Linked DNA regions of Oryctolagus cuniculus. The protein of the gene in region 1 purifies or fractionates together with the protein of each later gene. This does not show direct contact. Links are inferred from orthologs where the notes say so. Each region holds a gene or a part of one and is shown on either strand. Other genes may lie near its edges.

Evidence for each region.
Region 2: the proteins of LRIG1 (region 1) and ERBB4 purify together in Homo sapiens (affinity purification with western blotting; 3 studies listed by BioGRID and IntAct, with this or other methods). This does not show direct contact. The link is inferred for Oryctolagus cuniculus from reciprocal best matches to the Homo sapiens genes LRIG1 and ERBB4.

Annotation. Positions count from the first base shown.
Region 1 is NC_091441.1:83,064,574-83,068,941, forward strand, and holds the start of LRIG1 (leucine-rich repeats and immunoglobulin-like domains protein 1), read left to right. Parts: upstream 1-1,373; 5' UTR 1,374-2,017; coding exon 2,018-2,238; intron 2,239-3,524; exon of another isoform or gene 3,525-3,598; intron 3,599-4,368. UniProt on the Homo sapiens protein: Acts as a feedback negative regulator of signaling by receptor tyrosine kinases, through a mechanism that involves enhancement of receptor ubiquitination and accelerated intracellular degradation.
Region 2 is NC_091434.1:28,232,681-28,236,491, forward strand, and holds part of ERBB4 (receptor tyrosine-protein kinase erbB-4), read left to right. Parts: intron 1-1,680; coding exon 1,681-1,728; intron 1,729-2,487; coding exon 2,488-2,785; intron 2,786-3,811. UniProt on the Homo sapiens protein: Tyrosine-protein kinase that plays an essential role as cell surface receptor for neuregulins and EGF family members and regulates development of the heart, the central nervous system and the mammary gland, gene transcription, cell proliferation, differentiation, migration and apoptosis.

The DNA.
Region 1 (4,368 bases):
TCGTGGCTGAGGCAAAGTTTAGCACATTTAGTACATCTCAGTGGAGGCAAACTCTATAGATATGTCAACAATGAAAACAATTCTATTACTTTTAAAAATAGCCTTTTATTTTTATAACTTATTGCTTTGCTTTGCTTTTTCTTCCTAGGGAAGATCTTTTCATTTCCATAAAACACAAGTCAGATTTAACCTGGTGGAGCAAAGATTTGTTCAGCACACTTGCATTGCTTAATTTTCCTGACAACATGTGCAGTTATGTTACAAACTTGCACATTCTTGGGAAGGGATATGAGACACCGGCAAACCAAAATGCCCAGGGGGGCAGCTATATATTACAGTGCTAATCTTTTCCTCTCTCTCTCTCTCTCTCTCTCTCTCTCTCTCTCTTTCTCTCTGCATTTGCCTTACTGTTTCTGTGCACCGTCATCACACATGGCTACTGTCTTCTGACCTGTAAGAGCCACAGTTGGAAGTTTTGTAACATTTCTCCTTTTAAATCTCTCAGGAGTACTGTGTGGCTCCATATAAACTGGGTTTGGGCTCTGATTTTAAAAAAGACAAACCGACAACAATGATAAACAAGTCCTTTATCGAAAGCTGGAACATTTCCAGAAGTATCTTTCAACTTAACTAGGCAAGGAGCAGGGGGGCAGTGCACCTGCGACACTTGGTTTCTGCAGTACATTTTGGCACGCAAGGACATACTGCTGGATGTTGCTGGATGTTATACATCAAGAAGCAATCAGGGGCAGGAAGGAACTCCACGCTGTGCAAGGAGCAAGGGGGCCACCCCAAATGAAATAACTAGGATGTTCCAATCTGGAGGAAATGTGTGAAATTTTAAATCTCTCTTTGTTCCTGAAAAGGCACCTGACCAATGGGTGCCGGTTTGCTCTGAATCCCGAGTTCCAGTTTGCAGCTTTGAGGAGGAGGGCAGAAACCTCTGGGGCAGACAGCTCCAAAGCAGGGTGTCACCCTCTTAACCAACTTTCTCTCCGACCGGGAGTGTTATCTTGACGTCGCCTCCTCTTCTCAGCGCGCCTCCCCATTCTCACCTACAACCGCTACGTCGCCTTTAAGAGTCAGGGGACGCCCCTCTCTTTCCCCTCCCAGGCCCCCACCCTTCACACCTTGGGTGGGAAAAGAGAGTGGGGGCGGGGTGGCCGGCAACGCGGGAGGGGCGGGATCTTGGTGAGCGCTCCAATGGCCTCTGAGGATGACCGCCGTGGACTCCGGCAGCCAATGAGCGGGAGGCTAGGGGGCGTGGCGAGGCGCTGTTGCAAAGCATCCAACGTGGGCCGGCAGGCGGCCGCCGGGCGCGCAGCCGAGGGGTGTGTGAGGGCAAGCGGCCGGAGGCGGGGCCTGGGAGATCTAGCCGGGCTGGGCCGCGGGGAGGCTGGAGGCGAGCGGCTGATTGTTCATCCGCGAGGTCTGCGCGACTCTCGCTGCGCCGGGGAGCGGTGCGAAGCCCGAAACAGAGCGCGCGCGCGCGCGCTTCGCTCGCGCTGCTGGGACAGCAAGGCGCACGGGGTCCTCCGAACGCAGGGTTAGCCGCTCGGTCCAGCACGGGTTCTACAGCTGCGTGCCGGGAGCCACGAAGAAGATGCCCGCCGGCGCCGAGCTCCGGCTGCGAGGCTGAGCGCCTTCCTTCCAGCAGCGGGGGCAGCGGCACTTGGCCGTGCGCGGGGGCTCCGGAGCCGGCCCAGAGCGCGCCAGGAGGACGAGTAGCGGCGGCCGAGCACCCCTTGCCCGGACCTGTGGGGTCTGCGGAGAGCGCACGCGGGTCGGCCCGGATGGGCGCGGGGTTCGCGACCCCCGCCGGGCGCTGCGGAACGGCCCGGGCACTGGGGGCCCTCTGAGCGCCGACGCCGCGTCCGCGGAGAGAACTTGTGCGGCCGGCCATGCCCCGACGCGGAGCCTACTACTGAGGGGAGCCCCCACCGGGGCCGTGCGCGCCTGCACCCGCTCGGGACCTCGTAGTCCCCGCGCCCGGAGTTCGCAACGCGCTTCAGACAAGATGGCGCGGCCGGTCCGGGGAGCGCTCGGGGCCCCGCGTCGCTCGCCTTGCCTTCTTCTCCTGTGTCTGCTGCTGCTGCTGCGGCTGGAACCCGCGACCGCAGCGGCCGGCCCGCGCGAGCCCTGCGCGGCTGCCTGCACTTGCGCCGGGGACTCGCTGGACTGCGGCGGGCGCGGGCTGGCGGCGCTTCCCGGGGACCTGCCCGCCTGGACGCGGAGCCTGTGAGTGTGTCACCCTGTCCGCCCTCCCTGCGCCCCGGGACGCTGTCACTTGGGGACACTGGGCGGCAGGGGGTGCAGGTCGGGTTGTGTGTGTGGGAGATTTGGCATGGAGGTGTGGGGGAGCGAAGAGTGCGCCTCGGGGAGTCCGGCGGCGGACGGGCGTGGGTCGTGAAGGTTTGCAGATGAATGAGTGTGCCTCGTGGGCGGTCCCGGGGGTACACAGTTGAGGGTCTAGGTGGTGTGGGGTGCGCGAGCGCGCCAGGTGAGGGTGTGGAGGTGCGCGGGCGCGCGTCCCCGGGGTGGTCCAGGGCCAGCGAGGGAGAAGCTGGGAGGCTCGAGTTCGCGGTTTGGGCCGGGTGTGAGGGAGTGAGCGTGGGGTCTCGGGTCCGTTTCTTGTTTGCCCTCCTGTGTCAGCCATCTCTGGTGTCTTGAGCTCCTTGGTCTTGTGGACCAAGTGGGCAATGAATGAAGGTTGCGGCTCCCGTCTGGGCAGCCCCTTTCTGATCCAGGGCGGTCTTAGTGGCCGGCCTCGGATCCGGCTGGAGCAGGAGGCAGCCTTCCTCAGTGGAGGGCTCTGTGGATTCTCAGAGGTCCCTGAGCGCTGGGAGTGGGTCGTTTTCCGCCTTCTTGGCATTTTTAGGGAACTGTGTTCCAGACCCTTCTTGTCTGTCCTCAGGGCTCCGTTGGGCTTGGTGATCCCGGGGCGGGGGTGCCCCCCAGCCCCCCCGAGAGTCTCTCCTCCATAAATGGTGCAAGTTAGTTTTGGAGCGAGTGCCATGGGTCTGGCGGATTAGAGCAGTTGGCTTGACCTGAGGTAGGGTCTTTCCTGTGCTGTCAGGACTTAGGCCTATCAGGATTTAGTGGGGGGTGGGGTGCTTCTTGCTGGAGATTGGGTCCGAGAAAAAGACCTTAGACTTCTGTGAACGTGGTAGGATGGGAGGGCTGCCCTCTGCTTCTTGAAGATCCAGTTATCAGCAGTTCCAGAAAAGGCCTCGCTGGCATAGTCTTGCTTTTCGGTTGAGTGACTGGACCTCTTTCCTGGACTATAGAAGAGGTACAGCAGTCACCTCAGGCGTGACATTCATTTGTTTTAAAAAGAGAAAACCGGTGACACGTTTTAACCAACACCTGTGGCTTGAGAACACAGGCTGCAGCCGCGAGGGCGAGAAAAGTTCGTTCCTTTTACGTTGCAGCGCCTGTGTCTCTCACTAGTCTCTAACTTGGTCCACGTGACGGCCTGCCTCAGGAGCGAGAGCTGCAGAGTTCTGTTGCTGCCCAGGGCGGGTTACTGACAGTTAGGTTTGTCTTTGGTATCTGCTACTTTGGCGCCGGAAACTCAGTGAAAGTTTGGTGGCCACAGGTGGGTTTTCGCCCAGGCAGTGGCTGTAGGAGGGCTACGAGATGAAACTTAGCGGTTATTGGATTGCAGGCAGCCTGGGGTGTTGAAGTTTTTCCTTTACGTAATTAAGCTTAATTTTGCTTTTCCCCACTACATAGAATCACGTGGACAGAATCAGAATAAACTCTTAAGCGTTCACCTGTTCAGCCGGTGCCCTATGTCTGTGGCGTTGTAGGGAAGGCGCTTAGTTCCAAAGTGGTAACTTCCTGGAGAGGACGGGGTGTCTTTTTATTTGCACTTTTCTGTGGTCATAAGTCCTACTTTGTGTTGCCAGTCTTTGGCGCAGAACACACTGGTTGTATTTTAGGGTTCCTGGAAGTACCTTTTCACATGGCTTCAAATCATTTAAAATTGCCGTGTTTTCTGTTTTACACGTTTGATCATTGGTAAATATCTAGCCAGGAATTTTGAGCTTCAGGAGACTTGATGATATTCATTAGGTGTTAACTTTAGATTTTAAGGTGTGAGCAGTGTGATTTCTGGACAGTACGTGACAACACTTCACATATGAAATGGTTGTCCTTTGAAATATATTTGTGAGGGCGTTTTATTTTTGAACAAGGAAAATCTAGCAATTTTTTCCCCCTGGTCTTCAGGTTTACTGAATTTAAACCATCAGTGTTATCCTGAAATGTCCCTAAGGGTGTATCTGACTTACATTTCTGGCTATGATAGAGCAAGATTTGAGGGGAAAAAGTCTTGGTGTATAATTTAAGAAAATAACTTGTACT
Region 2 (3,811 bases), on another chromosome or scaffold:
TCAGAGAACAGGTAAGCATTTAAAAACACCTCTTTGATGAGTAGCTTTGGCATCTTGATTGCTTGACTTTAAATTTTCAATTTGTAGATGTGAATATTTAAATTTTATATATCCTCTACATTTATATAATAGTTTAGAGTTTACAGAGTTCATTTATATGCATCATCTTACTTCATCTTCACTAAAAATAGAGAAGCCAAAGATGGAAATGAAGGATCTGAGATGTTTCATGTTTGACCAAATTCTCATACCATTCGCAACTGGCACTGTAGCCCAAGGCTTCTAACAATGTATAAAATAATCTGCATATTGTACAATACTAGTTATTAAATGTTTTTTATAGATTTCCATGTCATAATCCTCAGTATAGTTGCTGGTAATAGTATGTTACTAGAGAAGGAACTAGGTCAATATTCACTATGACATCTTAGTTGTGGGGAGAATTAAAATGTAAATTCATTACACAGATTCAGAACTTGTTCCTTGATTAGTCCAATAGACGAAGTTAATTAAGGAAATTGTATTATCTAATTGTATTGATTGCCATTAAATGATCTCCATGGGGCCATATGAGCTTTAGACTGTTTTATGAATCACTAACCTATGTCAACCCTCACCTGGAATATCAAGCTATGTGTTATGTGAAAGATGTAGGTGCCTTGGAGGTTTATTTTAGTCATCTCTTCACTTGAAGTTGAAATGTAGAGAATGCAAACTTCATACAATTAACCATTTTGGTACATATTATTCATTGTTCCCAGAGCCTACCAAAGTGGAAAATTTCCTGACACATAGATAGTATGTTCTCAAGAAATGTGTTTAATGAATGAGTGAAATACATATGTACATATATAAAATATATACGACTTTTTGAAGAAATAGGTTGGGATTCATATAATACCTTTTGCTTGCCCTAAGAAATATTGTCCTCCATATTTACTTTATCCCCTCTTTAATTTAGCCCATAAGATGGAGTATTAGGCTATAAAATTATAGATGTATTTTTTCCAACCACTGAAACATATGTTTGACTGATTGTAATGTAGAGTGTGTTTCTTGGAAAAGAATTGATTTTCCAAATTTTCTGCTATTTCTTAACTTTAAAAGAAGAATGAAAATAAAATAGTGCATACCGAAGACAAAAGAATATGCCTTTTTATAAGGACAGCTGAGAAGTTGACCCTTTTCTGAAACAGTGGAAAAATCACCGTAACTTCATAGCAAAAATTGTTATAGACAAATTGAACTCTACATCTATATCCTAGACATATCTCTTATAAAAGTGAATATGGTGTTAAGTGGCAAATTGTTACTCAACACATAAAGAAGGAAACTGTCCCTCATTTACAACTGTATTTACTGATTTTTCCTTCATTCTAGGGTTAATAAGAATATTTCTGTCTACTTAATTTTAATCCATTGAAAAAATTTCATTTTTCTATATAATTTTCCTTTTCAGGGCTTGAATTGAAATGTTAATTTCCTCAAAACATATGAATAAACTTGCCTGCAGTGAGAATGCATACATTTTTACTGTTTAGGGAAATTCACTGTTGTGCACATTTTCCCCTTTGATTCATACAATGCATGTGCCTTTTATTTTTCTTGTCTTGTCTTTTTTATTTTTTCATTCATATTGCATCTTATTATATCCATCATTCCATTTTTCTTTCCTATTAGAGTGAAATTGGACACAGCCCTCCTCCTGCCTACACCCCTATGTCAGGAGTAAGTATTTCACAATCAGCCTTCATCTTTTAGGATTTTTTGGTCTTGGCTTACCATGATTCCTCTCTCCTGTCTCCCCATGATTTCTTCATCTTGCCTTTGCCAACAGTGAGTTAAGAATTTGCTACAGATTCAGTAGTTGAGGTGTGTTTTATCTTTGTAGATAATCCAAAATTGAGATATCATGTATCAACACTAGCTTTTGATTGATATCTGAGGGATTTACCTGGCTCATAAATTATGCTTCCAAGTGAGGAGATTATCTTTACTTCCTTGAGGATAGGTCATGTGCTAAAAAGCCAGATTCTCAGTGACAAGTCTCTGCAGAGTAATAGTAACCAAAAAGCAGTAAGAAAATGTGGAAATTCTAAATATTATTGGTCTACTTCTATTCTTAACGGGAATTGTATACAACTAATGACCACACTGTATGCCATGAAAATTCACTGAATTCTACACCAAAAATAGGCAATTGTGAGAGAAGGACCTCAAATATTTTTATTGCATCAGATATTAGTAAAACTAAAACATCTATTTCCAAATTATTTTTCTATGATTTACCTTTTAAGAAAAAAATGAAATTCTAGATGTTTTCAGTCTGTAATTCAAATCATTAGCCTCTAGGTAAAGAAACCACATCAATTCACACTATGACTTCTCTGAAAGGCATGATGTGATATCCTTTTTGTTCTTAGCATTCACTCTGTACTAATTTTCCTAACAACAACTTCCCTCCAAATCTCTTTCTGCTATCACCAGAACCAGTTTGTGTACCGAGATGGGGGTTTCACTGCAGAACAAGGAGTTTCTGTGCCCTATAGAGCCACGACCAGCACAATCCCAGAAGCTCCAGTTGCTCAGGGTGCCACAGCTGAAATTTTTGATGATTCCTGTTGTAACGGCACCCTACGCAAGCCGGTGGCACCCCATATCCAAGAGGACAGCAGCACCCAGAGGTACAGTGCTGACCCCACTGTGTTTGCCCCAGAACGGAGCCCACGAGGAGAACTGGATGAAGAAGGTTACATGACTCCTATGAGAGACAAACCCAAACAAGGTACAAACTGAATGTTGAGAAATGATTGTTATTCAATATCCCCTCCCATCAAAATGGAACGGAAATTGGCAAGTAGTTCAACTGTGTGACATGTGTGACCCAAAAGAGATCAAGGCTCCTGCTTCTTACAATATGGTCTTGAATCTGCAGCTTCCACATTATTTGGGTGATTTTAAGAAATCAGAATTTCAGGGCCCACTTAGCAATTCTGGATTTTTAACAACATATTCGTGTGATGTGGATAAATAATGAAGCTTGAGAAGAACTAACTAAACATATCTGTATTAGGGTTTTTCAGCCAGGTAGCATGTCACAAAATTTTTAGAACCACTGGTTTAATAGATTACTGTGGAGATTGTAAAGGTTAGAATTGATGAACAAAAGTATCTGATTTTTTTAAATATTTTATTTATTTATTTGAGAGGTAGAGTTACAGACAGTGAGAGAGAGAAACAGAGAGAAAGGTCTTCCTCCCGTTGGTTCACTCCCCAGATGGCCGCAACGGCCAGAGCTGCACCAATCCGAAGCCAGGAGCCAGGTGCTTCTTCCCTGTCTCCTATGTGGGTGCAGAGGCCCAAGGACTTGGGCTATCTTCTACTGTTTTCCCAGGCCACAGCAGAGAGCTGGATCGGAAGAGGGGCAGCCGAGACTAGAACCGGTGCCCATATGGGATGCTGGCACCGCAGGCAGAGGATTAACCTACTGCACCACAGAGCCAGCCCCAGTTTTTTTGTTTTTTTTTTTTTTTTGTTTTTTTAAGATTTATTTATTTATTTGAAAGGCTGAGTTACAGAGAGAAAGAGGGGAAGAAGAGACAGAGAGAGCAAGTTTCCATCCATTGGTTCACTCCCCAAATTGCTGCAACAGCCAGAGCTGAACTGATCCGAACCCAGGAGCCAGGAGCCAGGACTTTCTTCTGGGTCTCCCATGTGGATGCAGGGGCCCAAGCACTTGGACCATCTTCCACTGCTTTCCCAGGCACATTAGCAGGGAGCTGGATCTGAAGTGGTGCAACTGGAAACCATA